Tamandua tetradactyla: one gene and its partners. The protein of the gene in region 1 interacts with the protein of each later gene in a pairwise test. Links are inferred from orthologs where the notes say so. Each region holds a gene or a part of one and is shown in the gene's direction. Other genes may lie near its edges.

Region 1 (10,950 bases):
ACTTCTCTTTTTTCAGCAGGATGCTGTCAACTTTTCCGCCTGACTCTCCTATAGCCCCGTGTCTGATCAATATCCCTATATCTGTCCAGGGAACACTGAAGAATCTATTAAAATGCCTGAACCTACCCCTCTAACTGCAGCTCAGCTATTGAGGAATTTGATTGCCATTTTAGCATGTACCTGCTCCCTCCGTCAAGCCCTGAGAGCTGACTTTCTCTCTTTGTACATTTGTTATAAGCAAACAAGAATCCCAGCCACCTGTTCCTCAGGAGAGAAGAAATACTAGTTTGTATTCCACAGCTAAGACAAGTTCAGGAGGCTGTCAGGGCTGATCAGTCACACAGCCCCAGTCGGTCTGCTCTTTAGCCCTTGAACCCCACAGTGACCCAATCATTTGCTTCAGTCCCAGATTTATTGGTTCTCCAGAGCTGAGAAGCAGCCACTGAAATGGGCTTGGTCACGCAGCCTGGGGTCAGTCCAAACCTGGGGCAGTCGTTTCTCTACTGCTAGTGAGCAGGAAGGGGCCAGGGAAGTCAGCCATGTCTGGACTTCAACTGCTGGGAAACCCTGGGATTGGCTGTAGCCTTTGCAACAGTGAGCATGGAGGTGGGAATGCAGAGGTGAGGGGTATTAGGGAATTGGGGAGACAGGGAATCTAAAGAAACCTACACTCCCATACTTCACAGTCTGTTGCAATGGCTCTGAATTTTCTCTTTGACCTAAAAGCCAATTACTTCTGATGAAGCTGGATCCATCTTAAAGTGGAACTCAGGGCACCACAGCATCCTAATGGCACTGCCATTCAGCAAAGACCCTCCACTTGGCACTAGTGAGAAATTCTGATTTATTGAAGGTAAAACCACTGTCTCATTGCATCCTACCCATCTCTCCCTGTTCTCATGTGAAGCTTTTTTTACTTTATCTGGCTTCTCTAATTTTACACCCCCATATCATTTAATATTGTCTTTAAGTTCATTTCTATTAAACAAACCCCAAATCCTTCACCTACCGGTTCCCCTTGACTTAGGTTGCTAGGGAATCATAACAAATAACTTTTTCTGTTATAAAACAACAAAAAAAAACCTTTTCTTGTCCCATCCTAATAAGAAAGGTCCATTTGTTGGGACAAAGGGCAGGGTGGATATACCATTCCAAGCATTCAAAAGGATGAATGCCAAGCATTTGTGTGTGTAAGTGTAGTAAGTTTTTGCCACATCTTGTTAATTATCATGTCCTCCTTTCTCCTTTAGAGTCTTTAAGGTGCATTAATACTGTTAGTCCCTAGGTTTGTGAGTCATTCTGTCTCTTTAAGGCAACTGACTATTTCACTGCTGTGTGATGACTGCATGGTCTGAACTCTCTTCCTCCTCAGCATGGGTGTGCAGTGTGAGTTAGGGGAAGAACCACACCATCTCTTGGTGGTAAGTAATTAATGCCAAAAGAATGGCGGAAACCCTAAGTGCCAGAGGCCTGGTGATCCCTACTTCCAGAAGGCTCCAAGGTGGGGGTGGGGGGCTTGGAACTGGATCTCAAGTCCTTCTATTAACACACATGGAGAGGCAAAGTAAAAACTGTGGGTGAAAATAGAGAATAGACAAGATTTGCTGGAGCAGGAGGGTTGGTGAGAAGTTGGGGTCAGAATCTGGAAGGCCTGGTATGTGAGACTAGAGTCAAAGCTGGGCGTTTAGATCATGGGGAGCCCTTGAAGGTTTTTTTAAGCAAGTGACTTACACAAAATAGCAAAGCTGAAAAACGCTTAGTGAGGGTGGACTCCCATTATAAGCCCCTCTAATACAGAAGTCACCAACACACACAAAGTAGATGTCAATAATTAACATCGCTGGGCTGAAATTTCTGCCTGGCTACAACTGGGGGATTGATGAAGTTCTGCTCTCCTGGGAATCTCTCCTGGGACCAGGCCTATCTGGTCTGGTTTCACTTTCTTAGCTCAGTGGTGTTCAAATATTACCCCCTAGGAAAATTCTGAAAAAAATAGTTTAGATTGATACCTGAACTTTTTCATTGTAAGTTTAAATCATTTAAAAAATATGCAATTTATGAAATACTGACATTTAAAAATGAAACCATCAGATCATTCTTTCAGATGTTTCCCAATGGAATTTAAATACCACAGTAATTTGATACCCACCATTATTCTTTAAAAATACATGAAAAAGCTCTTCTTTAAGAATTGGATATTTCATATGGTCCTTCTTCTCTTAATTTGCAAAAGACTGTGCTACCTAGTAGTTAGAATCATTCACCTTTTCAAAGTCAATGCCAGTGTTTCTAATTTTCCTTGTTTTTGGCACCTCAGAGACTTTTCCATCGTGGCAAAGTCCAAAGTAATATTCTGGATAGAAGTATTCTTTTCTTGTGTAAAGTGGGAGAGAACAATTGTGAACAAATTTTTCATTTATATCAATTTTATGAAAGAATATATACAAAAGTTAAAATTCTCAAAGTAGACTTCCTGAAAACTCTTTTCTATATGTTTCTTATATACCACAGTTTGAAGGCATCTGCTTTAGGCTACCTAGTTGTTGGGGACTGAATCATGTCTCCCACAAAAGGCATAATTAAGTGCTAACCCCTGGTCCTGTGAGTGCGTGTGAACTCATTTCTAAACAGGACCTTTGAAGATGTTATTAGTTAAGATGGACAAATTGAATGAGAGTAGGCCTTAATCCAGTATGGTTAAAGTCCTTATAAGCAAAAGAAATTGGGCACAGAGACAACTGTGGGGATTTACCAGAAGCTGGAAGTTAACAGTTCCAGTAAGAAAAAGGATGAGATGCTGCCAGGTGCTTTGCCACATGATGGAAAAGCCAAGGAACTCTAAAGATTGCCGGCCAGCCAGAAGTCAGGGAAAGGCCCTGGGAGGAAGCAAGGTCTCTAGCCTCAGAAAGCAAAAAAATGTCCTGTTCTTAAGGTATTTAATCTAGCAGCCAGGAAACTAAAGCACTTATTGAATACTTCAGTATTCTATCTAAAGTTCCTGAACCAAGTATCAAAGAACCTGGGTCCTACCTAGACAAAAACCAGTAGCACTATATTTCACATTTAGGTGAGTCTAATGGCTATAAAGTTGAAGAACTGTGAAAGTTATATAAGAGAATGTCAGTAAAAACTTAGAATAGTTGGTTCATGGTATGGGCTTTAAAATAATTTTCTTAGTAGTTGAAAATTGTCTGAAGTATAAATTTTGTTGCTGTAATCACAATAAAGCAGATAAAAATGAGAAAAATGGCAATTGTATTGCTGGCAGGTGGAATCTGTGGAAGGCAAATCACATCCGCAGAAAAACTTGACAACTTAAAAGAGAATGAAATTGATCTTGTGATCCCACAAGGAAATAATATGTATTATAGTTAAGTATGTTGAACCTAAAACCTAGTGGTGTTTCCCAGTTATGTCATTTGCTAACTGTCTGACCCTTTCTGAGCCACAACTTTCTCTTCTGTAAAGTGGGGAGATGATGACAGCTAACATCTGTGGAATGTTTATTATGTACCAGGCATAACTGGTATTATTTCATTTGCTCCTCCCAACATCTCTTTGAGGTACTATCTCATTTTACAGCTGGGGATAAAATAAAATAACGAAGATAAAATAAAAGCTCATATCACTTAGTGAGCATAAGCATTCAATAATTGTCAGCTCTTAGTTAAAAAAAAATGAATTAAGCAAAGAATATTTTTGCTTTATACCAGAAGACTTGGCTGCTACCGAAATTTCTAGGTTTTCTGACCTACCTAATGAAAATCTTTTTCTATGCTTAGTAACAACATAATAAACTTCAATCATATTTGGTAGATACTCATATCATGAAAGAGAAATGCATTCTATAGATTCACTTTGGGATCAGAAACTTGGCTGCCAGAGGAAGACTTCCTTTAATCTTTTAGCATACGTGTGTGTGTGTGTGTGTGTGTGTGTGTGTGTGTGTGTGTGTGGTGTTGAATTAATCAAATAATGACAAAAATATATCATTACATATTGTGATAAACTTTAGGAAGTCAAAGGACCTGATCTAGTAGCAAAATACGAATTGCTCCCCCTGGTAAAATGTAGGGAAGATTGCATTTTCTTTATATACTATTTGTTGACTAAAGAGCCTCAAGCTTACTTAGCATATGTGATAAATGCGCAAATCATTCCAAACACCATTGAGTGCCTACCCTATCATCTAAATCACAGATGGGGCTTAATATTTGTTTCATCCTTGACTCTTCCTTCTTTTACATCCTACCCACCCCTAAATCATTGGCTGACCTTCACCATCAGACCAGTTCTTCCCAACTCATTGCTCTTAATCTGTACCAAGTCCCATCATCTCTTCCCTGGATTCCTACAGTAGCCTTCTAGGTAATATGCCTGCTTTTGTCCTGGACCATCCTCAATTTATTCCTCACCTTGTAGTTACAGGAGTCCTTTTATCATGTGGATATATTCAAAACCTTCCATGTCTTTCTACTCAGAGGAAAAGAAAAGGTTCTTACTGTGACCTTTACAAGCCTTTCATGATCTGGCTTTGCCTCTTACCTCTCCTCCTCATGCTACTCCTGTTACACTAGCCCTACCACAGGACTTTTGCCTGTGCTTCTCCCTCTTACGCTGGCAGGACTAGCTCCCTCCCTTCAGCTCTCTGCTCACATGTCACTTTATTAGGGAGACTTTCCCAGGACACACTACCTAACCACGTTACCCCACCCCACACTGTATATCCCTTTTCCCTGATTTTATTTTTCCTTTCTTTTTATTTTACTTCAGTTGGAGTCTACCTCGCATAAACATTCATCTTCTATGTTCCCCACTAGCATACAAATTCTGTGTGTGCCCTACCGTGCCCCAGTGCCCATGGTAGGCATTCAGCACTTGTCCAAAGTAATACATGGTTGAGTGTCCACTGCTGTCTATGGCTCAAGTAATACCTGGGATGGCCTATCACAAAACTCTCTTCCCTATGCCACTTTTCTAACAATTTGGGAAGCACTCAGAAAACATGATAGGAGACCCCACTCAGCCACCACACTAAGGGGCTTCATATCTGCCGCATCCTTTGAGCCCATCCATAGGGAAAAAAAAAAAAGAGATATTAAATTAGTTGATCTCCAAAAGGCCTTAACAGCTTGACAATTCTATGATGCTATGTGGCCAAATTCTCGAGACCTTACTGCAGTTTCAGGGGAAAGGAATTGATACTGCAAGCATGGCTCTTTCCAATAGAAGGGCCCACCTGACTTAGCTCTACAAAGGAGAAAGTGTCTCAGCGTGAAGGAGATTTATTGCATGTGCACTTTGCAAGGAACTGGAGGAATCGTCCCCAAACCAGTTCAAAGTGGGGGTGTGAGGTAGGGTTTTTAAAGGTAAAGGGTAGGACAAATGGATCAAAACCCACGTTACGTCCACAACTTCTTCTTGTCAAGTCAGGGATGACACTGGATCTTTGTGAGGACAGTACCAGCAATTTCTTAATTCTGTTTTGTCTCAAGCACATCTTATTCCAACTTCAGAGATTAGCTTTAGATATATAACGTCCAAGCTCCTACATTCAGGGTCTTCAGGATTCTTTTCAAACTTTTGTCTTTTGAGGAGGAAGTCATTGATTCACTGGGCCAGAGGGTGTTCTTGATGTTATTGTTATTTTATTCCTGTAAAAAGAACTTCCAATGTCTGGTTAATGTCCTTCTGGAACTAAAGTACAAAGAGGAGATTGCTAAACTCAGCTAGGGTAAGCATATTTTCCAGCTATCAGGAAGTAGGAATGGGAAGTCAGCTTAGAAGAAACGGAAAGAATATGGCCTACCTAGTTCAAAACTTGTACTTATGCTTCCCATCCCCCTTCTGTGTCTTAAGACCACCGGTTTAAACATGTTCATTACCAGAGAATGCCAAGGGTCTCTTGGAGCACCGCCTTTAATGGCGGCCAAGGGACCCCCGCATCAACCTGAAGAGATGCCTCACCCACATTTTACCGCTGCGTTAGCACAATTGTGTTCTGCCGGGGATGGTGCAAAAATTTGCTCAGGAAATGCATTTGTGTGAATCAAACATAACAAAGAGCGTTTTATCACGGCCGACAAGTCACCGCGGGTCCCACTCCGTAAGGAACGGGACGCGGCGCATCCATCATGGCCGCCGGCACAAGCGCAGCGAGCAGCAACTGAAAGGAAATGGCGCCAGGGCGCGCGGTCAGTCTCGACAAGGCCGAGCACTGGGGTGAGGGGTCGACAGAGGCACCAGAAACGCCAACCGAGGACCCTTAAGATCTTCTTGAGCTTTTGACACTTGGAGACCCTGAAAATTGACGACTGCAACATGGAAGCTATTTTATCTATAAAGCAACTAGCACAAGCAGCCTTCAGGTTGCGTGCCGCTACTGGAATCCAACAAAACCCTCTATTCTTTAAACAGAATGCTTTACGCATAGTACGCATCTTCGCAATAGTGGGCCGACTAACGCCTCAAAGAATGCTTCGTCGCAACAGAGGCGCGTCCCCCTCCCATCCCCCCACCCCACGTTCTAGTTCAGGTGGCGCGAGAACTCTACGCTCGCTCCGTACTTTATTTTTCTTCCGTGTTCCGTAAAACGTGTCCATCTCCGCAATCGACGTAAACCTCTTTCAAGAATAGCCCTATTACCCCGCGATCCCTCGGGTGATTCTAAGACGCTGTTTACGTATCGTCTCTGACGTACGTAGCGTTGAGCTGGAGCAGTCTCAGCGGCGGCCGCCATTTTGTGCAGCCGCTGGGAAGGAAGGAGACGCCTAAACCGCGGCGAAGCCGGGTTTGAGCGTAGCCAAACCTACCCACCGTTTTTATATCCCCGATTCTCTGTGTTTTGCTCCCGTCTCCGACGAGAGAGGCGGCGACGGTGGCGTCTGCGACGGGAGATAGCGCGTCGGAGCGAGAAAGCGCCGCGCCTGCCGCCGCCCCAACAGCGGAGGCGCCGCCGCCATCGGTCGTCACCAGGCCGGAGCCGCAGGCCCTCCCGAGCCCGGCCATCCGTGCCCCGCTCCCAGATCTCTATCCATTTGGGACCATGCGCGGAGGCGGCTTTGGGGACCGGGACCGGGATCGTGACCGCGGAGGGTAAGGGAGGGAGGAGAAGAAAGACCTTGCGTCTGCGGGGGGTTGGGGGGAGGTGGTACTTGACGAGACGGAAACCTCTGCCCTAACAGGGGATTTGAGGGGATCCTTCCCGAGCCCGGAGGCGAGGAGACCCGGGGCGATAATACCGGTTCAGTGTGCGGGCCTGGGTCTCGGCCCTGGGGTCACTCGTGACCTGGCAGGAGGAGCGGCTGCTTGGCGACGCTCCAGCCACTCCTTACGGACGGTCGTCGTGGCGCGGCCCAGCCCGGGGGGAGCGGAAAGGCCGGGACCGGGTGGGTTGCAGGCAGGAGGGGGAAGGCCCGGCCGCCGCATATTCGTCCTGAGCCTCTCTGTCTTTTAGTGCCAGGCCGATTAGGGCAAGTCATTTGGTCTCTCCAGGCCTCAGCGTTCATCTGTAAAACACATAAGCTCTTTGTTGAGAGAAGAGGATGATACCTCCGAGTTAAGCTTGGGAAAATCTTAACGCGCAAATGGCTTTTCTCGTGTTCTCTATCGCCGGAGATAATTTAGCGGAACTGGAAACAAAGTACTAAAAAATACTAAATCGCCTTTATTTTTTCAAGTCGGAGGAAGCACACGGAGATACTAAAAGCAGTGGAATTACTCAAAGTTGCTGTGTTTACGAAGAAAGGGGGTTTTGTTTTTTTCTTTTCTGGTTTTTATTGTAAAGTTGGCATCTTCTGTTCTCCTCGGTCTGTTTTCTCAGACTGCAGCACTAGCTTCTCGAACAACCTAGAAAGTTTTAATGTGGGAATCCCGGGGTTACTAGGTTGGAAGCTAATGCGGGATTAAACCTGAACTCTTCTTACATGCAGAGATCACAGGCCTTAATGTCGGCTAAAAAAAAGTGCTTACTTATAGAAGTGTATCTCTGGATAAAGAGCAGTGTGATGCCATTTCGTAATATAATGTGACCTTGGGCAGGATCCTCAACCTTTGTGAGCTCATTTTCTCATCTGATGATGGGTGTAATAATTACTTGTCTTTCGTGGTAAGATAAATGATAAAGAAGCACCACTTACTAGCCACAAACCCTCAATTAACACTTTTAATTTACAATATAAAAATTTACTTTTTGGACTTCTACGTTGTTGGAAAAATACTTGATCTCAGTCTCAGTATTAAACATAGAGGCTAGAAATGTGGAATGTTTGCTTTTGTTGTCTTCGTATAGCTAAGTTGAGAAGCGAATTCCAATACAGCCAACTTTAGGAAAAAGAATTTCACAATATATAATACCCGTGAAAATGGCCCAGCAATTTCCTCTCTTTATGCCCTAGACTCTAGGGACTAGAGAAACTTGCACACGTGCCCCCAGGATATATGTAAAAAAATGTTTATAGCAGCATTATTCATGATGGCAGAAGATTGAAAACAACCCGAAAGTCAGGATACATTGTGGGTATTCATATAATAAAATGCAGTACAGCAACAAAAATGAATGAACTTGAATCAGCGTGGGTGACTCCCAAACATATTGAGTTTTTCTAAAATTCAGATCATGGTAGAAGGACAAATTTAGGGATTGAAACAGGTGTGGTAAAACTAAAAAGCAAACTATTTTATAATAAAATGCAACATAGTAGTAATGGTGGTAATTGTAAACTTGAAACAGACACTTGAGAGGCTATGAAAATAATGGTGGTGATCTTCTTACCGTAGGTGTTTGGTTAAGTGTTTGTTTACTTTTTTTTTTTTTTTACATGGGCAGGCACTGGGAATTGAACCCAGGTCCTCGGGCTTGGCAGGCAAGCATTCTTACCTGCTGAGCCACCGTGGCCTGCCCCATGTTTGCTTACTTTATATATGTTTTGAATGAGGAGTTATCTGAAAAGGGAAGGGGGAATGAATTACTAATCCATACTTAGTTTACCCCATATTCCTTGTGTATAAGATAACAGTTTTTAAAAAACTTTAAAAGTTGTTCATTTAAACAGAATGGCACGTATTAAATAAGGCTTAACTCCTAAATCCATCTTCACCATAAAATTTTCTTTATAATTTGTTTCATTCTTAACTGAATATTACATAGTTGAAATGGATTGTTACCTTTAAAGGAAATGGCTGCCAGCCCTGTATGTACATAAACAGTCCAAAGATGATATACATTGTACACTTAAACTAGCATAATTTTCCAAGTCCATACAGAATCCTCAAAGCTGTATTTGTTGCAAAGCCAAGTTGAACTGTTAATACTGAATCAGTAAAATGATTTAATGAACAGCTTTATGCAAAAAACTTGGGGATTTGCATCGCGTATGCTCAGGAATTAAGTAGAGGGCTCTGAGGTTTGAGGTCAGTGTTAATTACAAACGTGGTAGGCAGCATATATTTTAAGAACCTCATCATTCAAGTTAAATCTTGAGTGTAGAATAGTACGTTTTAGGTAAATAGCCAGGATGACTGGAAGAAGGGATTTGTTTTTTATATTTTTAAATAAAAGGCTGCTTAGAATAAACTTTAAAAGAGGAACTTTTCAGTATAATTTTGCGCTGGAAAATCGTCCTGAAAATGGCATTTCTGGGATCCACAAATTTATGTGAAGTAGACGGATGGAATCTCTAAAAACTGGTCTTTGGTTTTTGTGATTTTCTTCAAGACACTAACAGTCTAAAGACTTGGCTTTTTATTTCATGAATAGTATTGCGCTAGCAGCACCCTTTACAAGTAAAGAGGGGAGGGTTGATTCGGGATGACTAGTGGCCTTGTTCTATATTGAGCTCTAAGCCTGAAGGCGTGTTAGAGATGTCGTTGATATATGTACCCTTCTGTATGCTTTCCCTGTTTTGATTTTTAATTTCTGGTTTCTCTTACTGATTCATCAGTAATGTATACCTTATCAGCCAATATTGAACTGTTGTGTATAGATCGTCATTGGTCCCAGGTAAAATTTTCTCTTAGCAATCTTTGTATTTAGAGAGGCATCTAATAATGTGAATGAGAGGACATTGAGCTACTGCTGTCAACTATGAAGTGAAACTTTATAACAGGATGATGTTATGAGTGAGTTGGTGTGGAAAAGGAAAATTAATTTAAATTCAGTATTGTATCATACAAGGAATGAGAAAATGGAATGAAAAATACTATATTTACATGCCAAACAATGTTCCACAATTACGTAGTTTGAGTATAGAAATGAAGGTCATCTTAATGTTAGGATTCTTCTGGGAAAACTAGCTTCTAATTTTACTTAACTTTCAGGTTTGACCAGTAGTCCCATTTCAATTCCAATTGAGCGTTACTGTTATAAAAGATATATAAAGTGAGAATAAATTGATTTTAAATAATGTGGTTTTTTTAAGCTTATAGTTTTTAAAAGCCTTAGATAAAGTTGAGTGTGATGGTTTATTCTGTAAACTAATAGTTACATTAATAGCACTGTTTGCTTGGGAACAAGAAAGAGATTAGGTTAAGGTAGAGATGAGAAAAGAGAGAGGTCATAAACCTTTGTTATGGTTTGTGGTTATAATAGCATAAACTAAAGGTAGAGACTACCCTGCCACACTTAGAACCATAGGCCTTTACAGGTCCTAGCAGTTTTCCTTAGCATATAAATAGACAGTAGCAGTGCTCATCACTGTTCCAAGGAGAAAGAGTTCCGGGAAGCTGTTTCCAGTTTAGGGGGACTTGCTTGAAGAGTATATTTTTCTTTCTGTCCACGGTCTTGCCCTTAATTTAAGCTTAACCTAATGGCCTTCCTTTAGCCATCCTTTTAGGCAGGTTACAGGTAAGCTTGTGTGCAAATTCATTTCATTCTCACAGCAACCCTATGAAATAGGTGGTAGTATTATTTCTACTTGACAGTAGAAACTGAAACACAGAGTAGTTAAATTG
Region 2 (10,663 bases), about 47 Mb from region 1:
CTAAGCACATTACTTAAGAAGACCAACAATTGCCAATACAAGTTCAATATTTTTTTTCTGTAAAAAAAATGTACATCAGTTAGATAGGTACCTATTGGTGCCAATCCAGTCACCAGGTCATCTCAGAAAATGTAATAAGATGGAGAAAGGAATTCATCTCTTGTAGAGTACCGTATATGGCTGGAAAGACATTGCCTAAGTAACAATATGATCTTTAAGGGGGTTGACTCCAATTAATTGCAAGACTTTTGCTTTATTGTGTGGATGCTAAGTGACATCCACATGCCTAAGTAACAATTAAGATCTTTAACGAGGGTGACTCCAATTAATTGCAAGACTTTTGCTTTACTGTGTGGAGTAAGCAATTAGGGAGTAGTGAATCAGAACTGAACTGTTAAGGGCAATGATGGAAACTCTGAACATTGCAATCTTTGACTCCCCATGTGGTGTTTGATCTCTCCTCTAAATATTGAACTGACATCTAAGAATATGTTTGAAAGAGTATAAATTATTAACCTTTCTTGGGTCACCAAGCATCTCTATATAGCCTCAGTGTCAATATATAACATATTAAGAATGGATTGTTCAAGATTTGAATTTGCACAAGTCAAGGACCTCCTGAATCTAGTTTTTATGACATCACTTTCTCTTGATATTGTAGTTTTAGACCTGTCTTAGCTCCTTACCCACATCAGAAATTCCATGAAAGTAGGGACCATGTCTTTTCACCTTTGCATGCTCTACAAAGCCTTGCATAATACCTTCTACATTATTACTTATCTTACCCTCTACTCTACTTACTATGATTATTTACCTTACTGTTTTATTAGATGAATTGTCACTGAGTTAATAAATGGCTTCCTTTAAGGGGCTCTTCAAATTTCACCTACACAAAAGATAATTCACATTAGCTTCACCTTTGAGCCCCACCTTTACACCTCCTAACTCTCTAACCTTTTTTCTCTCTTTGGGGATGGAAACACCTTGAGCATATTCACTCTGAAGCCCAGGCAGAACCTGAGCAAGTATCAGGAGCCGGCCTGCAGGAGGTTATTTGCATGAGGAATACTCCCCCTCCCCACAATCTGTTCCAAGATTCCAAAAAAGATCCCAAAAAGAGCCGGGAAGGTAAGCCTGGCTCAGAAAAAGAAAGACTTCATTCATTGGAAATGAAAAATAATTTTGACTGTAACATGATATCTCAACTCAAAATTATTAATTGATATCTGTATCCTAGGAAGAAGACTATTAGAGTATACGTGTAATGGCTTGAGCATTTAAAAGGAAAAAAAAATGTTACTTTTGTAGTTGAAAAAAATACCATGTCTGATTTCTGGTAAAACTGAACTTTTTTCATCAATTTATTAAGCTACTATTTCTCTTTCACTGTCTGTTCAGAGTTGTTGGCTCATTTAATTGTTAGATTAGTACTGTTTTTCTTAATAATACTCAAGATTTTTTTTGCATTTTTCTCAGGTTTTTATCAGTTCTTTTTACAGGTTCCTCTTTGTTAGTCGAATTTGGAGGAGGGTGTGTGTGGGAACTTTTTGTTTAACTTCAGGTATACAGACCCTCACACCTTTTCTGCAAGTTACACCTTCAGATAATGGTATATGATAGCTGCTAGAAATATTTTCCACTTTTTCAGAGGAAGAAAGACTCCTCTCACCTAAATATCTAAATAGTGATATAGTTGGTGATCTTCTAAATCCGAAGTCAAAAACTAGAGTTTCTGTTACATGAAACAATCTGAAAACAAGGAGCCAGAAAAAGACAAATTTAAAGGAAAATTCTGGAAGAAAATAATGAAAGTGCAAATTTGCGGTTCTCTAAAGTTTGCCACACATTGAGTTTATTGAGTTATTCTTGAGAATATTTAATGAGACGCTCAACAAAGTAATTTCTGTAAGTGGGAGTAGAAAATACTAGTTATTTTTTAAAACTGTATTGTGGAAAGTTCTGTTATATGCATGCATATGTATATGTGTATGTAAGGTATGTGTGTGTGTGAGTGAATAAAAATAAATTTCTGACCATGGTCATCTTTATTCTTCCTTCATTTTTCTAAATCTAACTCATAAGGTTATTTTTCTGATCCATTTTGGAAAAAAATTCCCCTTTACATTTTCAAATTTTATCTTTGACTTAGAAGACAGGTTATTTTCATTTTTACTTTCCTCCATCTCATGCTTCTGAGGTCCCTCATATCTGGGCTAAGAACCATTGTCCTAGAAAAGGTAGGGCTCAAATTACTCAGGATGCTGCCTGCTTAAATATGCTAGATCCCACACAGATAAAGTTATGGGATTCCATATTCTCTTTCTTTTCTCCCAACAGTTGAAATGAAAAAAAAAAAAAAGTTCAAAACACATAGTAAGCCTACTAACATGTGTCTGTTAATAGTGTGTTCTTACTGGGCTCAGTCAAACTACAGATTTTTCACCCAAATAAATTCAGAACATGCATGTTCCCTTTTCCTCTAGATGGTAATGCAAACCAGAAGTACAAGCACAAGAAGGTTATCTTATCACATTATAAATCAGATTCATTAAATTCATTGTATGGTGCCATCTTCCTACATATCCTTTAGTACTTTTGTGAAATGGCACTGTCTCCTGTCTCTCTGAGGCTACGCTAGCTTATCTTATTAATGGCTAAGTGCAATATAAACCATTCTAAATAAGTAATGTCTGCACGTGGAGAATCATAGTTAGTCATAACTGCACTATACCCTATATCATACTCACCTTCTCTTCAAGAAAAATTTCAATCCAAAGAGTCTTGAATATATACTTTTATTGAGAGGATATACCTGTTTTTCCAAAGATTTTAACACATGGGTGTTGTCTTCAGATATCTCTTAGGTTTGTAAAACAATTTGCCTGTAAGAGATACGACAGATTTTGTAAATTAAGATAGCCAAGTATATAAACACGAAATTTGGTATTAATAGCCCTGAAAGAGATCTTAAAGCCTTCTGGCCCTGACACTAATTTACTCCAAATAGTAGAGCAATCTATCTGATGTGGTGACTGGTAGAAGGGGGTGGGTGAGATGGTGTCAAGGAGACTGGTAATTAAAAGCTATTACCAAATTGAAGTTTGTTTTAATTTTAGGCTATTAAATATTACCTGGAAAACAGATTTATTAATAACCATTTCTTATCTAGGAGTTCTTTCCACCACAAAATGTAAAGCCTTAACTTATTCATCAGTGGGTTATATTCTGAGACACAGGTTATCTATCATACAATGACTGCAAGTTTTATAAAAGTAATTGTTTTAAGAACAATGGAGTAAAAGATTTCCTGGTCCAATCTATGCAGACAGCAGATATTTATCTAAGTTCTTAGTGAGGATTTACTTTTTTATTTTTCAGAAATCTTATTTGAAATATGGCTCAGAGTGATTTTCTCTATCCAGAGAACCCAAGGAGGCGGCAGGAAGTAAATCGTCTTCACCAGCAGCTTCTTGACTGCTTATCTGACAGCTTCCATGCAACCAATAAACTTATTGGGGTTCTAAATAAGCACTTGGGATGCAAGTTGGCCTCCATTGAGATGAAAAGAGATGGAACCATCAAAGAAAACTGTGATATCATCATACAAGCCATGACAAAAATTCAAAAGGAATTGCAAAAGGTTGACGAAGCACTAAAAGATAAATTAGAGCCAAACCTTTACAGAAAACTTCAAGACATTAAGGAAAGGGAGACAGAGAAAATTGCCATAGTGCAAAAGGTTATTTCAGTCATCCTGGGAGAAGCCACTTCTGCAGCCAGTGCACTGGCTGTTAAACTCGTGGGCTCCAGTGTCACAACGGGCATAATTAACAAGCTGGTCACTGTGCTAGCTCAAATTGGTGCCTCTCTCCTTGGCAGTATTGGAGTTACTGTTCTTGGCCTTGGCATAGACATGATCTTCCGTGCCATCCTGGGGGCAGTGGAGAAAACACAGCTTCAAACAGCCATCAGAAGTTATGAGAAGCATTTGGTGGAGTTCAAGTCAGCCTCCGAAAAATATCATCATATTATTACTGAGGTCACCAACACAGTGGAACACCAAATAAAATAAACAGGCATTTGATTTCTCACTGGAATATTTTTCTGCTTCCTTCTCATTAATAGTGTTTTGCTTCCTTGATTAGGTTCATTTTCCATACACTTCCAAAAAGGGTACAAACTGAGTAAATAGTTTGGAAAGTGGGGATCAGAAATGCGAAAACTAAGGCACTGGAGTTTCTTTTTGTTTTTATCAATGAATGCCTGGGTCAGTCGGTCCTAGAGCCTTCAAAATAAAAGATTATGTAAATTCTTGCTCTACCTGACCAACATTGGGGCAAACGCTATTGTAGAGCAGCAGGGGTAGTTACCCTTTCTTTTTCTAATCCCTAGTCAAAATTCTTAAATTTACATTGAATATAGAAATTCTCATTTCCATCATTAGTTTCAGCCATCAACTAGTTCTAAGGGGACATACTTAGCAACTGCTGCCTAAACACAAGCTGTAGGCCTTCAACTGGAATTAAAGTATTACCATATTTTCAATCATAAGATCAAATCCAATTTTCTATAAACTGGAAGAGACTAAAAAATGGTTTGTACCAATCTGTTTTAATGAATAGTAGCAACGGTTCCATGATCATCTGCTAATTACACACTGTAATCTAGATGGATTAAAAATATGAAGTTGAAAGTTAAAGTTAAAAAGATAGGGGTGCACGGGTAGAGTGCTCACCTTTCATGTGGGAGACCCAGGTTCAATTCCCAGACCATACACCACCCCCCCCCCCCCCAAAAAAAGATAAAGGTCCGTTTCTGCCGTTGCAGTCAACTTGCGATATTCTGATCGAGTATCCCGCAAGTCAATATTTGAACCCTCTGGAACATAAAAATAAAAACTCCAGCCATACACCAATAAAATGCATTTGGGATACAGGAGAGGCAGCCCCTACTCTTTTAAGAAATTGTCATTTATGGGAATGTTATCCTTTATTACCTATGAGTTTTCAGAGAAAAAGAAATTAATTTCATTTTCAATAATAACAAAGTAGGCAGCTGTCTCTGCTATACAGAGCTTTTGCTGGCTAATTCCACTAATTACCTAATTTCAGGAAAATTCAGAGGCTACATAGGCCTAATGGTACAGTTGAACTGTTCAACAGATACAAGTGCTTTCTGAACCCATCACCAATTAGTGACATTCCATTAAGACTCTTTTAGCCTCTACTTAAGAAAATTAATATACTGCTGTGAGAATGTTGTATTTGATTCTTGTCCCAAAGTACAAGAAATATCTTGAAATTTAAAACACTCAGCATATCTCAAGTCACAACGTTAGACATAAGACCTTAATTTTTCAAATGTACTTTGTGCTTTCTTTCCATCAATGCTTTTTTAGTTCATTGCAAACAATGTGGCTCACCCTCAAAAGTGAATCTACTAAGACGAAGGTTAGTTTAAGTAAGGGGCCTACCTTATATTCTTTAAGTCCATTTTGACTAATCTACTAAAAATTAACAGCAACATAAATATTCTGAAATATTTATAATTGATAGAATTGGCCTAAATCTAACTTGTTTTCTTACAGGGGAAACTTAATTTAGGATCAGAAGTAACCAAGCAAAATTTTTTTCAATATTTTAGCTTACCTTTAAGGGGGAAAGAGAAATGAGGAGTTTTAGGGAAAGAGGGAATAGAAAAGAAATGACTACGTCTAGAGATGGTAAATATTTCCAAACGTGTAAGTGACGTCATAAAGGACAGTCAGGCAAGGAGCCAACAAAATTAAACTCGCCAATAGTAAATGTACAACTGAATGCACATATATCCTTCAGTTCCTCTTCAAAAAACAAATCCTGTCGATTAGCATTCTGGATCCCTAATGCAGGCACTGATGTGCTCAGGGGTCTGTGTGTTCACAAACCATTACTGAACTCCGGGATGTACCAGACGCCCACGTGGGCCCACCTGACCCTAGCAAAGCGCCTCAAACACAGCGCCAAGCGTTATTCGGCAACTCGCTTTCAAATGGAGTTGCGCCCAAAGGACCGCATCCGCTTAAGTCACCAGAAAAGGAAAAATCCAAAAAGGAGCACAATTCCCAGGAGATACAATCAACGTAAGACATCGTCCCTACGTTCAAAATACGGGTCTCGGTCCACACAATAATTGATGCCCCCGGATATTAAGTCAGAACGGCCGGCGTTGGGGGGGCGGGAAGGGAAACAGGAGTGCCTTGCCATCAACCAATTAGATATCTGCCCCAGCTTCTCTTTTATTATTCCTATAGGACTAGGAGTCTTCGTACTGCGTAAAAAGGCGGGCTGTTAGCAGACAGCCAACCAATTTAGTATTTTAACCAAGCGGAAGAGAGCTTGATCCTAGTGTTCTTGGGTATTCTGGATGGTCCCCAAGACTGAAAAACGGTAAGAGACCGTCCACCCGAAGACACAGGAAGTGACGTACCGATGGCGGAGGGGCGCGAGCTTTCAAGATGGCGGTGGCTGGCTACCTGAACGAGGGGCTGAGGTGAAGACCCCTACGAAGTAAAAGAGGCCAGAAATCGCCCACACCCCAATTCTAGCAGTCCCGGGAATTCAGCAGAAGTGTGAGTGTGCGGGTGGTTCCACTCCGCTTTTTCACCTTTCCCGTCCCTTCTAGGGCCCGCGCGGGTGTCTTGGAACTCCAGGCCCCGTTTCTGCGTTCTTCCTCGCCCTGGTTGGTGTCTCTCGAGTCTCAATTTGGGGGATCCCCGGGCCGGAGACGTCGCGGTTTCCAGCGCTTAAGAGATAGTTTTATCTAGGTTGGTTGGCGCGGCTTCCTCTGCACGTTGACCGGCTGCTCTACGTTTCACGTCGTCTTGAGCCTCGAGTCAGGGTCAACCGTCGTTATAGTTTCGGCAGTTGCTGCTAGTATTGCCTCCTTTGGCGGACCTGGACCCCGTCCCCTGGGAACCTTTTTGGCTATTTTCAAGTTACCCAACGTTTTGTGGCCTGATTACCAGGTGGCCTCTGTTTTAGACCAAAAAAAAAAAACAGTAGTTTGTGCGGACTAACCCACCAGTGTATTTGTAAAGATTGACTATAATCTGTGGGAGAGGGTCAAAACATCAGTCTGATAATTGAGAGAAGAAAGCAAAAGAAATACAGGCAGATCTGAGAGCTTATATATGCACTTACTTTGCTTGTTCCCTCACTCGTGGGTTTTGTTTTTTTCGTGAGAAAGTAACAGTGACAGGCTAAATTCATTACCGCTAGAACAGCTCGGAAGCATCTAGCAGAAATCAGGTTAATTGAACATTTATTTTAAGAAGTAATACCGTAATCAACTGATCTGACAATGCCTGTGTAAAGGGAGAGAGAATATAATTGTATAATCTACCAAATAATCTACTTCATGATCTTCCCTTTGGCTCTCTTTTAAAAGTGCCTGCTTTCTAAAGAGAGGAAATTTGTTAACCCTTATCATTGTAAAGAGAGTTTTAAAAAGTTACATCTCATTCATTTGGAATAGGGGAAGAAATGATATAATATGGTCTTAGCCTAACAAAAATTTTGCGTAGAAAATATTTTCCCTCAACCACAATTATCACATTTAGGTATTTTTAAAAATACAAATCAGGAATCAAGTAGGTACTAGTTAGGAAAATGTATGTCGATAAAAATGGAAGTTTATGAAAGCTTCCTTATATAATGCTTATTTTGAGTATTTTCATTTTTAGTTTTAAATTTTTGGAAAGCAAGAGCTATATCTGAATTAGAAGTATATTTCAGTTAATGATTTTTTATGGTCTCAGAAGTGTTGGGAGAATGCATGCTAAGAAAAACTATGAATAGGCATGGGTGAACTATTTGTCTTTGGGCCCAAATTCCATACCCCTATTCTTTTTTTCATCCTACAGATAAATAAAGGGAAGCTGTAGGGAAAGGGCTAATGAATGGCTTCCGGTGTTCATGGTTTGTGCCATATTGCTGAAAGTGGTTGATTTTTTCAGTCAACAGTCAGAGTTATGATTGATTTTTTTTTAAGGCTACATTGATGATTTAATCATATGCACAGTGCTTTTCAGACCCTTTGTCTTACTAATGAACGTTAAAGATCTAATTTTTCCTTGTCAAGAAAGTTGAGGCCATCTTTCTTGGATACTAAATTTGAGAATAAGAACAAGTTCTCAAAAAATTAATCAAGACTATTTCTTGTCAGATATTAAGGTACTCTAAAAAGGGGAAAAAATTATGAATACAGAAAAATGTAAGTTACTTATTTGTATTTTCAGGTTGCCTTTTTTTTTTTTTGATGAAGAAGTAAACAATACAGATTTTAAACATGGGACGGAGATCTACGTCATCCACCAAGAGTGGAAAATTTATGAACCCCACAGACCAGGCCCGTAAGTGTCCATTAATGTGCAATGATAAGCAAATGTTAAGGAATGGTAAAAAGTGTAAGCATTGGGGAATCTGTTTATATCATTATGGCATAATTACAAGATCAGTAGTGATATACATCAGTTGTAGAAAGTTAACCATTGTTCTTGTGAGTGGTAAAAAGTATAAGCACTGGGGAATCTGTTTATTTCATTGTGGCATAATTACAAGATCAGCAGTGATACACATCGGTTGTATAAAGTTAACCATTGTTCTTGTGAGCACATGAGTTAAACTTCTAAGATGTAAAAAAATTAGTATTTATATTACCAGTTTCAAATTTGATTGGTTTGCAGTACAGTAGAATTGGCTTAAAGCTTTCTTTTTATACTTAGAATTTGAACAGATGAGGTTTATAAGCACTCATTTAGTAGGTTATGGTATTTTTTCCTTCAGATTCATAATTATTTTTTTAAGAAGCTTAAAAATGCCTCAAGAATTTTTGTTTGTCACAATTACTTTTAGCACTTAGTGGCTAGAGGCCAGGGATGCCGCTAAATATTCTACAATGCATCAGATGGCCTCCCACGACAAAGAATTATGCATCCCCGATGTCAGTTGTGCCACAGTTAGAAAGCATTGCGTTTTGAAAACTCAGTTATTAGTCTTCCTAATCTAAAATGTGGAAATTAAAGTCCTCTCAGAGTGAAAATTGTATTAAATTGGAGACAATGATAATGTTCAAGATTCTGAAGTTTTATTTCTCCTTTTTAAGGAAAGGAAGCTCGGAAGAGAGAATTAAAGAAGGTATGGTTTCAGAAGCATCCTTTGTAGCCATAAGTATTGTTTGGTGTATCTTGTGATAATTTGCTGAATTAGTGAAAGGATATAAATGTGAAACAAAACAGCTTTATAAACCCATTATCTTGAATAGGTAACTATGGTGTTTTGGGCAAAGTTCTTCCCAAGAATAAGAAAGGATTTATTTTTTAATATCATGCATTTAAAACATTTAAGGAACTCAGAATTCTAGTAGTTTTCACTTATGTTTTCTTTCATTGTTTAGCATTAAATCTTGAGAAACTTTTCTCTGTTCTGATAGATAATTTTAGTATTTGATTGCAACTTTTGTTAAAAAAAGAAATCTAAAGAATAAATTTTTTAAGCAACTGCTAAAAATCTCACTAGGTTAAAATAATACTTTCCTAAGAAAGCACATTTTGTAAATATCACTTATCTTTTTGACAAAAGTTGAAACCCTTTTAAGAGCAAAAAATTTACGTGGCTCTTTTCTAGTTTATTAAAACAAATGGTCAGAAATTAAGGAGTGGATCAAAATCCTGTTTAAATAAACAAATTTAAAAAACACCCACGAGTGCCCAACCTCTTCATATTCTGCTCCTTTTATGTTTCTAAGAACAAAAAACAGCGTATGATGGTACGAGCTGCAGTTTTGAAGATGAAGGATCCCAAACAGATTATCCGAGACATGGAGAAATTAGACGAAATGGGTAAGAATTTTTTAAAAGGCAAGAATTTCATAGCAGATGTAATAGAAGCACATGGGGCAAGCAGGTAATGAGTGAAGCAGCTTTAGCATAAGAAAGAAAGAAAAGCATAATGGTGTTTGACACTGTTGTCAGGGATTGGAGGGGGTGGGCTGTTGCAAACAGGCGAGCTCATGACTTTAAAAAACCACTATTTTTATTTTTATTTTTAGCTAACTTTGTTATAAGATAAATCCAGTAGGACTAGATCATTTTTTTTGAGAGAAGGTTGAAATTTGGTTTATGAAATTACCTTTTTCTGTTGTGGTTTCTTTGTTTTGATTTACTTTTTTAATGTTGACAACTACTGTGTAAATCTAAGTGTTAAACCATTATAAATTTAAGGCCATTTCCCATTTTTCCTGTTAAATTACCATGAATATAAGACAGTTTCCCATTTTTCCAGTGAGAAGAATCTGTATATGACTATTTTGTCATGATATAGAAGATAGCATTAAATGCTTAAAGTCAAAGTATATAAAATATATTAGGATTCCTGCCTTTCACATTTCATAGGATAATTTTATTCAGTCGCTTCATAAGCACCTTGAATACCATTCTTTGTCATTACTGAAATCATGTGAGGTAACTGCCTATTACCCTTTCCTTACATCTATGTTGCCTGAGAATTGTCTGTATAGCGCTGCCACTGGAAATTTTTTCCCAACCCACAAATACCCATTCTCAAAATGTTAGAACATTTGGGTTTTCTTGTCATTTTTTAGATGGATGTTTTCAAACATGCAAAAA
Region 3 (10,948 bases), on another chromosome or scaffold:
GGAGACTTAAGACAGAGAGGTCCAAAAAGGGCTCAGCTGCTCAGACCCAGAGGTTTGGAGATGCAGAAAGGAATTACCCTGGGAAAAGCCCTTTGAACCCAGAAGCTGGGAAGGAAGGCCAGCAGAGAGGAGGGAAGGCCAGCGATGCTGCCGTCTGCCTTACCATGTGGCAAAGAAACCCAGATGAAAGTTAGCTGTCTTTCCTCTGAGGAACTGTAAATTCGTAATGGAATGAATCCCCTTTATAGAAGCGAGTCCATCTTTGGTGTATTGCATTCTGGGAGCCTTAGCAAACTAAACAGTATGTTACCACAATAAACGTCTTTAAAAAGAGTAATGAATAACTCCATAGAAGGGCAAAAGAATGACTAGTTATTTCATAGATGAAGAAACACATATGACCAGTAAACTTACGAAGAAATATGCAAGCTCAGTAGTCACTGGGGAAATAAAAAAGCAAAACCACAGAGCGATACCATTGTATAGCCACTTGTTTGAGGCACATGCAGGAAAATACACATACACAAAGTCATAAAATGCCAACTACATGGATCAACAAGATCTTTTATACATTGCTGGTGAGACTGCAAATTGGGAAAATCACTTTGGAAAATCATTTGGCTTTATCTTGTAAACAACATTCAATATACCCTTTAATTCAGTAATTCCACTCCTAGGAATTGCCCCCTCCTCCACCTTCCCATTCTATCTCAGAGAAATTCTTGCACGTGTGTTCCAGGACACATGAATAAGAATCTTCATACCAGCATCGCTCATAATAGCGAAAACTGGAAATGATCTATATGTCCATCAACAGGAGAATGGATATATAAATGATGTTAAATTCAGTAGAATGGAATATCGTATAGCAATGGAAACAAACCAACTACACACAAAAACAGTACCATAATGAAAAATGCAAAGTTTATAAGGTTAGATACAATATGCTATCATCTGTATAAAGCACAAAAACAAGCAAAACTAAAAAATTATACTGGCAAGGTGCATGTGTATGCACACACACATTTGTTTTTAAAGCAAAGTATTGATAATCGTCAGATTCAGAATAGTAGCTACCTATTGGGGTAGGTAGTCGACAGGATAGAGGAGGCGAACTTAGATATAAATTATTGCTAGTTTCTATTTCTTGGATTGGATGTTGTATTCATGGGTATTCACTGTTATTGATAAATACTTGAAAAATGTAAAGGCCCTTGGGTAGGTAATTGTATAGTGCTTAGCATGTGCCAGGCACAGTTCTAAACTCTTTATGTTTTAACGCATCTGATCCTCCCAACAAGGAGAGTCTATGATTATTCCCATTTTATAAATGAGAGAATCAAGGAACAAAGAGGTTAAAAGAACTCTTCCAAGGTCCACAGCAGAGCTGTAATTTTAATCCGGGCTCTTAACCATTTACCCACAAAATGACTAAATAAATGAAAGAGATTATTGCATTAGGGATTAGTCATATAGAAGTTACAGCAGAGAGAGCTTTCTGTGACAATGGTAAAGGACAAAGCACATGAACAGCTCTGTTCAATATGCTTAAAACCAATGAATTGTATAACTTAAATGAGTGAACTTTATGCAATGAGCGAGCTTTATGGAACTTTTAAATAAATCTGTTTTTAAAAATACATACCACAAACAATGAAAACAATCCTAAATGATTGCCTACTATTTTAGGGATTTAATATATGCCTATGTGTAAAAATATATACTTTTCCCTTAGGCCAAACAAAATAAACCTGTCAGGAGAGTACTCACTTTATGAACAGAGATAGATTTTTAAAATTTCATCTATTTTTGTGGGTGGAAAATTTTTTTTTCAGTTCCCAGCATCAACCTATTTTGTATCTACCAAGAAATAAATGGCTTTGAACTTCCAAGACAAAATTTGTGTTGCAATCACAACTGTGTGTGTGTGTGTGTGTGTGTGTGTGTGTGTGTGTGTGTGTGTGTGTGTATTGAGGAGGCGGATACAAAAAGAATAAAATCCAGGAAGAGGGTGAAAGGAGGGGCATTTGTTTGAAAACATACATTTTTAAAAATTGCAGTTTTCTTCCATGTGTATAACTTTTCTTTTGCTTTTTCCTTTTAAAGCTAAAACTGATTTTAAAGGAGACAGAAAAAGGACTCATATAGAAAGCTAGTTGTGTCTGCTCTCTTGCTGGGCTGTGTCTTCTAGGACCTTAGAGTTGCACGGCTCCAAGGGGTCACCCTCATTCCAGAACAGGCTATGAAACTTTTCCTTATTATTTCCTAACTTGGGATAAGGGCACTGAAAAGGAGAGATCAACATGCTGCTATGTTGCTCCGGGAAGTTGTTGGTAATTTAACTGTTTTCTTGACCACTGAGAGATCCTCTTCACCCCAGGTCAGGTAACCTCACAAATCCGGCCATTTGATCACAAGGAGACCAAATGAAAGCTTGGACCGAATCTCAACTTCCTCACCAATACCAGAAAAAGTTTTCAAAGTTCTGGCTCTTAAACGCTGGGTCACTTTAATCCTACCTCAAACCCCTCTAAAAGACATGTGTAAAATCAGCTGATAAAAACTCACTAAACAGCTTCATGCTTTAAGACAAAGGAAAAGAAAATAAAACAAATCACTTCTTTTAACTACATTATGGATCCAACATATTTTGGCATTATTTAGCTCTACTGTGAACACACACACATTACAGGCATTATGTTTTGGCTCTTTCACTGGTAAAGCTCTTTACAGACTAACCATAAAACTTACCAGTCCTCTTGTCTCCAAGAAGGCTACCATCCCACCAGTCCTCTCGTCTCCAAAAAGTCTACCATTCCCTCAGGCAAGCATTACTAGTGCAGCCAACTGTGAGCAGTTGCTTCCATCATGCCCCCTGGTATGTCAAGCAGCAAGTCAAGCCTGGAAGCCTCAGGCACTACCACACATTTGTACTGGTGCTTGTCCAGCAGGCAGTACAAACTGGAATTCTTTCCCTGAATTCTTGTGTTTCCTCAACCCCTATAATTAGTTTTGGGAAACTGTACTGATTTAACTATTATCTTTTTCTTTAATCAGTGAGTCAACTAAGCAAGTCAGTTTAGTTCAAAAGTATTAATTCTGGAGACTGGTTTATCTGGATCAGCTAATGATTTGAGTAATCAGGTAACGGGGTTCCTTCAGTTTCCCTTTGTGTTGTAGGAATATAACCTTAAAATAGATTCAAACTCTCTATTTAAAGCTTTTTCTTTGAGCATTTCGAGTGTTGACAAATACTGCAAGTTTTTTTTAAAAAACCCCCTAGTGTCTAGATTCTTATCTCTAAATACCATCTTCCATTTAAAGGAACCAGAACTCCTTGGAGAACTGGGGTTGTGCGGTGGTACAGATAATGTACTAGATAAGCCTGCAGCAAAATAATGGAGAGAGGGAGAGTGGGAAGAGGTTAGAGAGAAACAAGATTGAAATGATTTGTTAATTGTTCAAATTAGGTGCTGGAAAAAATGTTTATTTGATACAAAATTTATATTTTGGTTAGTGCATTTCCTAATATAGCTTATGTGAACAGTTTAATTGAACACCATAAATACACAGAATCTTGAGTAGGGCATGAGATTGTGTAGGTTTTTCCAGAGTGATGTCCTGATAAATCCCAGAATGATTTGAACAGTAAATAAAAAAAGTATTTACAAAGTCCCCTCAGAGGAATGGCGAGAAAGGGGGAAAATTCAACTTTCCCATGTGGAGAATTTCTGATATTCTCACAAGCAGTGGGGACAACCAAAACAATCGATCGAGCTCTCAATCTTGGGGTTTGTTTGCATGAAACTTATCTCCGCAAGGACCAGGCTAAGCCTACTTAAAATTAGGCCTAAGAGTCACCCCCAGAGAGTATCTTTTGTTGCTCAGATGTGGCCTCTTTCTGAGCCAACACAACAAGCAAACTCACTGCCCTCCCCCTGTCTATGTGGGACATGACTCCCAGGGGTGTGGACCTTCCTGGCAACATGGGACAGAAATTCTAGAATGAGCTGGGACTCAGCATCAAGGGACTGAGAAAACCTTCTTGACCAAAAGGAGGAACAGAGAAATGAGACAAAATAAAGTGTCAATGGCTGAAAGATTTCAAAGTCAAGAGATTATGCTGGAGGTTATTCTTACACATTATATAGATATCACCTTTTTATTTAAGGTATAATGGAGAGAGAGGCTGAAGGGAAGTGCCTGAAAATGTAGCACTGTGTTCCAGTAGCCATGCTTCTTGAAGATGATTGTATAATCATATAGCTTTAACAGTGTGACTGTGTGATTGTGAAAACCTTGTGTCTGATGCTCCTTTTATCTACAATTTGGACAGATGAGTAAAACATATGGATTAAAAATAAATAAATAATAGAGGAACAAACGTTAAATTTAGTAGACTGAAATGCTAGTGATCAATGAAAGGGAGGGGTAAGGGGCATGGTATGCATGAATTTTTTTCTTTTTATTTCTTTTTCTGAATTGATGCAAATGTTCTAAGAAATGATCATGATGATGAATATACAACTATGTGATGATATTGTGTTATTGATTATATATCAAGAATAGAATGATCATATAGTAAGAATATTCTTGTATGTTATGTTTAATAAATAAATAAATAAAAGAAGGCAAAAAAAAACCCCCAAAAAACCCCAGAAATTAGGTGCCGGGTTCTTCAGAGTATTCTTTGTAAGTGAAAAAGAATTGTTATTTTTCAAACTGAAAGAGTGGCACATGGTAAAACAAAGGTTTAAAAAGCAAAACAATGATACACAATGAAAAGTTAAGTCTCCCTCTCTTACTCCAGACTCTCAGTTCCCATCCTCAGGGTAACCTGGTAACTATTTTCTTCAGTATTTTTCAAGTAGGTTTCTACGAATATACAAAGATACATATATATGTGTGGGTATGAATATTTATATACATTTTTTTAAAACCACAAATGGTAGCATACTAGACACCTTATGAAACTTTTGGTAGCCAGTTTATTTTTTTAAATAATGATTTACTATCTATCTATCAGCTGCTGTAGGCTTAATGTCTCAAGCTGCTTGGCTCTTATGTGGCATCTGGTGTCTGACAGGACTTCGGTCACCTAGAGGCTTGAATGGTCTGGAACATGGAAAATGCTTCACGCCCACGGGCATTTATTTGGTGCTGGCTGTCACCCGGGTGCTCAGTTGGGACTGTCAACTAGACTGCCTCAGTTGGGGAATCTCACGGCATGGTAGCTGGCGCCCATAGTAGTTACTTTTAATCCAGTGGGTATATCTACACACTATTTCACTGTGGATTTTTATGTTTTACATATCCACTTAATTGTGGGCCTCTTTCAGGTTTCTTTGATCTTATCAAAAGATGAAAGGCCCCTTCATCACTTCCCCTAAAATTATTAAAAAAGGGAAGCAGATCTAATGCAGAGCTGCGAACCCGTCTTAGGCAGTTTTCAAGTTTTCGGGATCTTATTCTTACTCGGCACTACTTCCTTCCAGCAGACGGTGAAATTCTCGGTGTCAGCCAATTCCCGGCCTCACCCAGCATCTCGCACAGCGTCTGACACAATAAAGGTCTGTGCAAAGAATGAGAGTTGGATAATCATTGACGGAGGTAAAAGAGGTGGATTTGGAGACAGCCAGGTGGCTGCGCTACTGGGTTCTAATGCAGAATAGCCGGGGATGCGGGCAGGTGCGGGCAGGAAAGCGCGGCGCATCTGCAGCGGGTGTAAATCTCACCCGGTTATCTCAAGGGGAGAGGTAACGCGTATGAAAACAAATACAGCTAGACTACAGCGCCAAGAACAGACAAACCACGTGCATTCGCAACATAAAACAGGAAGCCCAGACATACGTCCGCTATAGCCCTACAGTTCCCGCCACGCCCGCGAACAGAGACGCTGGGATCGCGGTCACTCCCCTGGGTTACCGCCGCTCCGTGGGTGGGAACCGGGAGCGTCAGGGAAAGCCCGGCTCCCGGGCGAGGCACGCTAGGGCTGCGTCCCCGCTGCGCTACCACCTCGCTGCCCGACCCTGAGAGAACGCGCCAGATCGCAGCGTCACCCCGAGGCTTTAGTCTGACCCCGCGCGTGTCAAAAGAGAACTCCTGGCCCCTGCCGGCCGCGCGGGTCCCAGTGACCTCGGGGGACGCTCTCTCGCGCCCTGGGGAAACGGCCGGAGGGGGTGGTGCCTCGCACACACCCCGGGACAGCTTCTAACAGCCGGACGGCCTACCCAGTGCCTCGCCTGCCACAGGCAGAACGGTGGGGAGCCCAGAAGTTTCTAGCTCCACGGGCTGCAGCATCGCTAAGTACGCCGCGGGACCGAACAAATGTTTGAAGGGTGAACTGCGAAAGCGCGGGGAGGCGGAGTTGGCTCATGATCACCATCTCGCGACATCTAAGTGACGTCGCACAGCAAGCGCGTGTTCTAGTTTTCACCTTCAGTCAGCCTCCTCAGTATATGGGTCTCTCCCCTTAAGCGAGTGATGGACAGTTATTCCAGCCTATCAATTTCCTCATCAACATCCAATCAAATTTAAATTTCTTTTGGCCGCTGGAGGAGTTGGAAGAAGGGGATCGAAAGAGAGCGCTCGCGCCTGCGAGATTCGTGTGAGACTGCCTCTCAGAGAAAAAAAATGTCAAAACGGATGGCCCAACTTTCCAAATAGTGTGTTAAAGGACGGGGTCCCAAACCAATGAAAAGGATGAAGAGGTGGGAACGCTGCTTTCGCCGCGCAAGAAGTACCGTTACAAGGCAGACTTTTTGTCCAATCAGCGCCTCCGGGCTTTGGGTCAGGTGACTATAGAGTGCAGGGGCGGGGCTATAGCCTGGCGCGAGGAACCGTTAAGATAGACAATGAATACCACCAATGAGATACTCTGACTAGGGCGTTGGGAGACCAATAACAGTTGTTGGGCGGGCACCTTCCCGGAGAGCGGGGAGATGTAAAGACAGACAAACAGTTTTTCCAATGAGACTGTAGAACAGAGATGCTAATTGACCAATGAGGACTACGGGGCGGGATCCTTTTCCGCGGCGGAGTCCAAGATGGCGGCGTGCGGTTCCGCTGTGTGAAACGAGCGCGCGGCGGCGGGTTAATCAGTTCCGCGGAGACGACCTGCGACGACCTGCAACGATGAAGGGAAAAGAGCGCTCACCAGTCAAGGCTAAACGTTCTCGTGGTGGTGAGGACTCGACTTCCCGCGCGGAGCGGAGCAAGAAGTTAGGAGGCTCTGGAGGCAGCAATGGGAGCAGCAGCGGAAAGACCGACGGCGGCGGCGGGTCGCGGCGGAGCCTTCATTTGGACAAGTCCAGCAGCCGAGGTGGCAGCCGCGAGTATGACACTGGTGGGGGCAGCGCCAGTAGCCGCTTACATAGTTACAGCTCCCCAAGCACCAAAAATTCCTCGGGCGGGGGCGAGTCGCGCAGCAGCTCCCGGGGTGGAGGCGGGGAGTCACGTTCCTCTGGGGCCGCCTCCTCAACTCCTGGTGGTGGGGACAGCGGGGAATACAAGACGCTGAAGATAAGCGAGTTGGGGTCCCAGTTGAGCGACGAAGCAGTGGAGGACGGTCTATTTCACGAGTTCAAACGCTTCGGTGATGTAAGTGTCAAAATCAGTCATCTTTCGGGTTCTGGCAGCGGGGATGAACGGGTAGCCTTTGTGAACTTCCGGCGGCCAGAGGACGCGCGGGCGGCCAAGCATGCCAGAGGCCGCCTAGTGCTCTATGACCGGCCCCTGAAGATAGAGGCTGTGTATGTGAGCAGACGCCGCAGCCGCTCTCCTTTAGACAAAGATACTTATCCTGCGTCAGGCGGTGTGGTTGGGGCTTCTGTAGGTGGACACCGGCACCCTCCTGGGGGAGGTGGTGGAGGCCAGAGATCACTTTCCCCTGGTGGTGCTGCCTTGGGGTACAGAGACTACCGGTTGCAGCAGTTGGCTCTTGGCCGCCTGCCTCCACCACCACCGCCACCGTTGCCCCGAGAGCTGGAGAGAGAGCGAGACTATCCGTTTTATGAGAGAGTGCGTCCAGCCTACAGTCTTGAGCCAAGAGTGGGAGGTGGAGCCGGTGCGGCTCCTTTCAGAGAAGTGGATGAGATTTCACCTGAGGATGATCAGCGAGCAAACCGGACGCTTTTCTTGGGTAACTTAGACATCACTGTGACAGAGAGTGATCTAAGAAGGGCTTTTGATCGCTTTGGAGTCATCACAGAAGTAGACATCAAGCGGCCTTCTCGAGGCCAGACCAGTACCTACGGCTTTCTCAAATTCGAGAACCTGGACATGTCTCACCGAGCCAAACTAGCAATGTCTGGCAAAATTATAATTCGGAATCCTATAAAAATTGGTTATGGTAAAGCCACACCCACCACCCGCCTCTGGGTAGGCGGTTTGGGACCTTGGGTGCCTCTTGCTGCCCTGGCACGGGAGTTTGACAGATTTGGCACTATACGCACCATAGACTACCGCAAAGGTGATAGCTGGGCATATATCCAGTATGAAAGCCTGGATGCAGCTCATGCTGCCTGGACCCATATGCGGGGCTTCCCACTTGGTGGCCCAGACCGTCGCCTTAGAGTAGACTTTGCAGACACGGAACATCGTTACCAACAACAATATCTGCAGCCTCTTCCCCTGACTCATTACGAATTGGTGACAGATGCTTTTGGACATCGAGCACCTGACCCTTTGAGAGGTGCTCGGGACAGGACACCACCCTTACTGTACAGAGATCGTGACAGGGACCTTTATCCTGATTCTGATTGGGTGCCACCACCGCCCCCAGTCCGTGAACGCAGCACTCGGACTGCAGCAACTGCTGTGCCTGCTTATGAGCCATTGGATAACCTTGATCGCAGGCGTGATGGCTGGTCCTTGGACCGGGACAGAGGTGAGAGAGATCTGCCCAGCAGCAGAGACCAGCCTAGGAAGCGAAGACTGCCTGAGGAGAGTGGGGGACGGCATCTGGATAGGTCCCCTGATAGTGACCGTCCACGAAAACGTCACTGTGCCCCTTCTCCTGACCGCAGTCCAGAATTGAGCAGTAGCCGGGATCGCTATAACAGTGACAATGATCGATCTTCCCGTCTTCTCCTCTTGGAAAGGCCCTCTCCAATCAGAGACAGACGAGGTAGTTTGGAGAAGAGCCAAGGTGACAAGCGAGACCGTAAAAATTCTGCATCAGCAGAACGGGATAGGAAGCACCGGACAGCTGCTCCCACCGAGGGTAAAAGCCCTCTGAAAAAAGAAGACCGGTCAGATGGGAGTGCACCTAGCACCAGCACTGCTTCATCGAAGCTGAAATCCCCTTCCCAGAAACAGGATGGTGGGGCAGCACCTGCAGCAGCATCCTCTCCCAAACTCTGTTTGGCCTGGCAGGGCATGCTTCTACTGAAGAACAGCAATTTCCCATCCAACATGCATCTGTTGCAGGGTGACCTTCAAGTGGCTAGTAGTCTTCTTGTGGAGGGTTCAACTGGAGGCAAGGTAGCCCAGCTCAAGATCACTCAGCGTCTCCGTTTGGACCAGCCCAAGTTGGATGAAGTAACTCGACGCATCAAAGTGGCAGGGCCCAATGGTTATGCCATTCTTCTGGCTGTGCCTGGAAGTTCTGACAGCCGGTCCTCCTCCTCTTTGGCCACATCAGATACTGCCACCTCTACCCAGAGGCCTCTTAGGAACCTCGTGTCCTATTTAAAGCAAAAGCAGGCCGCTGGGGTGATCAGTCTCCCTGTAGGGGGCAACAAAGACAAGGAGAACACCGGGGTCCTTCATGCCTTCCCACCCTGTGAGTTCTCCCAGCAGTTCCTGGATTCCCCTGCCAAGGCACTGGCTAAATCTGAAGAAGATTACCTGGTCATGATCATTGTCCGTGGTGCGTCTTAAGATACATGTGTAATTTGTATTTACTACTTTTACATGGTTCCTGTTTTGTGATGTGTAATGGGATACAGCATCAAAGGCAATTTTCTTTTTAGTTGGTTGTTTAGTCATAGCTTTTTCTTTTTTATATTTTTATAACCTCTTTAAAAATAGAAGTCAGGACAGTTTAGTTGTTATTTTAGGTGTAAAGGTTGCCCTAGAAGTAGCAGGCAGATGGACTTGCTTTAACTAGGAGTTCCCACCTTGTTACTTTTCTCCCTTCTTAAATTTTTTAACCTTGAGCTTAAAAAAAAAAACAACCCTTGAAGTTACAAAACCAAAATTTTTTTCGGTAGGTCAGAATTTGAAGAAAAGAGACCAGTGATTGTATAAAGATGGTAGCATATACTTAAAAATTACTTGATTGGTGTGTAAGTAAATAATTCCTGTATCAGAAATATTTGTGTGACTAAAATTTGATCAGGATCTCAAAAGTATAAGCTGATAAATTATATAGAAATGTAATTATTTTAATCAGGTATATTGAGTATTTTTCTTAAAATGCACAGTTTATTCCCAGAGAGTTTGTTTTAAGTGCGCGTTTTTATCATCATTTTTTGAGTTCTACTGTATCCCATATATGCACTTTTGGTTTGTAGCCGTATCTATTCAGTAAAAATTGAGGACTGTGTTACAAACCATATGTGACTTTCGATTACACTAGTATGCAGGAAGTGAGTAGGTGCTTTTAAAATCAGAATTCTTTAGTCAGTGATTGGTGTATGGTGGTGTTTTAACTGACCTTTTCCAGAGAGGTGTAGCAGATTCAGTTCTAATTTAATTGCATTTTTCGGAAATAAGTATTCTTCAGCAAAGATATAGTTTTGGGTTTTGCATCCGTTTAAATTTCTGGTGTTAATAATAGAGAGTTGTTTGTAGGGTCTTTTGTTTCATTGGGCATAAATCAGACATAACCTGTGTTGCAGAATTTATGAAAAGTTACCATAAAATGCCTTGCTATGCTTTTTTTTTTAACTTTTCTCAAGCTCTTATTTTCATATTTAAACAGTAGTGGTAACATTACATTATT

What was found.
Region 2: the proteins of DDX17 (region 1) and WBP11 interact in a two-hybrid assay, tested with the Homo sapiens proteins (3 studies listed by BioGRID and IntAct). The link is inferred for Tamandua tetradactyla from reciprocal best matches to the Homo sapiens genes DDX17 and WBP11.
Region 3: the proteins of DDX17 (region 1) and RBM15 interact in binary tests that used the Homo sapiens proteins (3 or more experiments, as listed by UniProt). The link is inferred for Tamandua tetradactyla from reciprocal best matches to the Homo sapiens genes DDX17 and RBM15.

The regions. Positions count from the first base shown.
Region 1 is NC_135333.1:30,848,834-30,859,783, reverse strand, and holds the start of DDX17 (putative ATP-dependent RNA helicase DDX17), read left to right. Parts: upstream 1-6,802; 5' UTR 6,803-7,045; coding exon 7,046-7,095; intron 7,096-10,950. UniProt on the Homo sapiens protein: As an RNA helicase, unwinds RNA and alters RNA structures through ATP binding and hydrolysis.
Region 2 is NC_135333.1:77,378,220-77,388,882, reverse strand, and holds the start of WBP11 (WW domain-binding protein 11), read left to right. Parts: upstream 1-5,799; 5' UTR 5,800-6,118; exon of another isoform or gene 6,119-6,289; 5' UTR 6,290-7,003; exon of another isoform or gene 7,004-7,286; intron 7,287-8,275; 5' UTR 8,276-8,325; coding exon 8,326-8,389; intron 8,390-9,141; coding exon 9,142-9,173; intron 9,174-9,783; coding exon 9,784-9,877; intron 9,878-10,663. Other genes in the region: SMCO3 (single-pass membrane and coiled-coil domain-containing protein 3), read left to right, coding at 3,395-4,072. UniProt on the Homo sapiens protein: Activates pre-mRNA splicing. May inhibit PP1 phosphatase activity.
Region 3 is NC_135337.1:12,584,552-12,595,499, reverse strand, and holds the start of RBM15 (RNA-binding protein 15), read left to right. Parts: upstream 1-6,716; 5' UTR 6,717-7,002; coding exon 7,003-9,871; intron 9,872-10,948. UniProt on the Homo sapiens protein: RNA-binding protein that acts as a key regulator of N6-methyladenosine (m6A) methylation of RNAs, thereby regulating different processes, such as hematopoietic cell homeostasis, alternative splicing of mRNAs and X chromosome inactivation mediated by Xist RNA.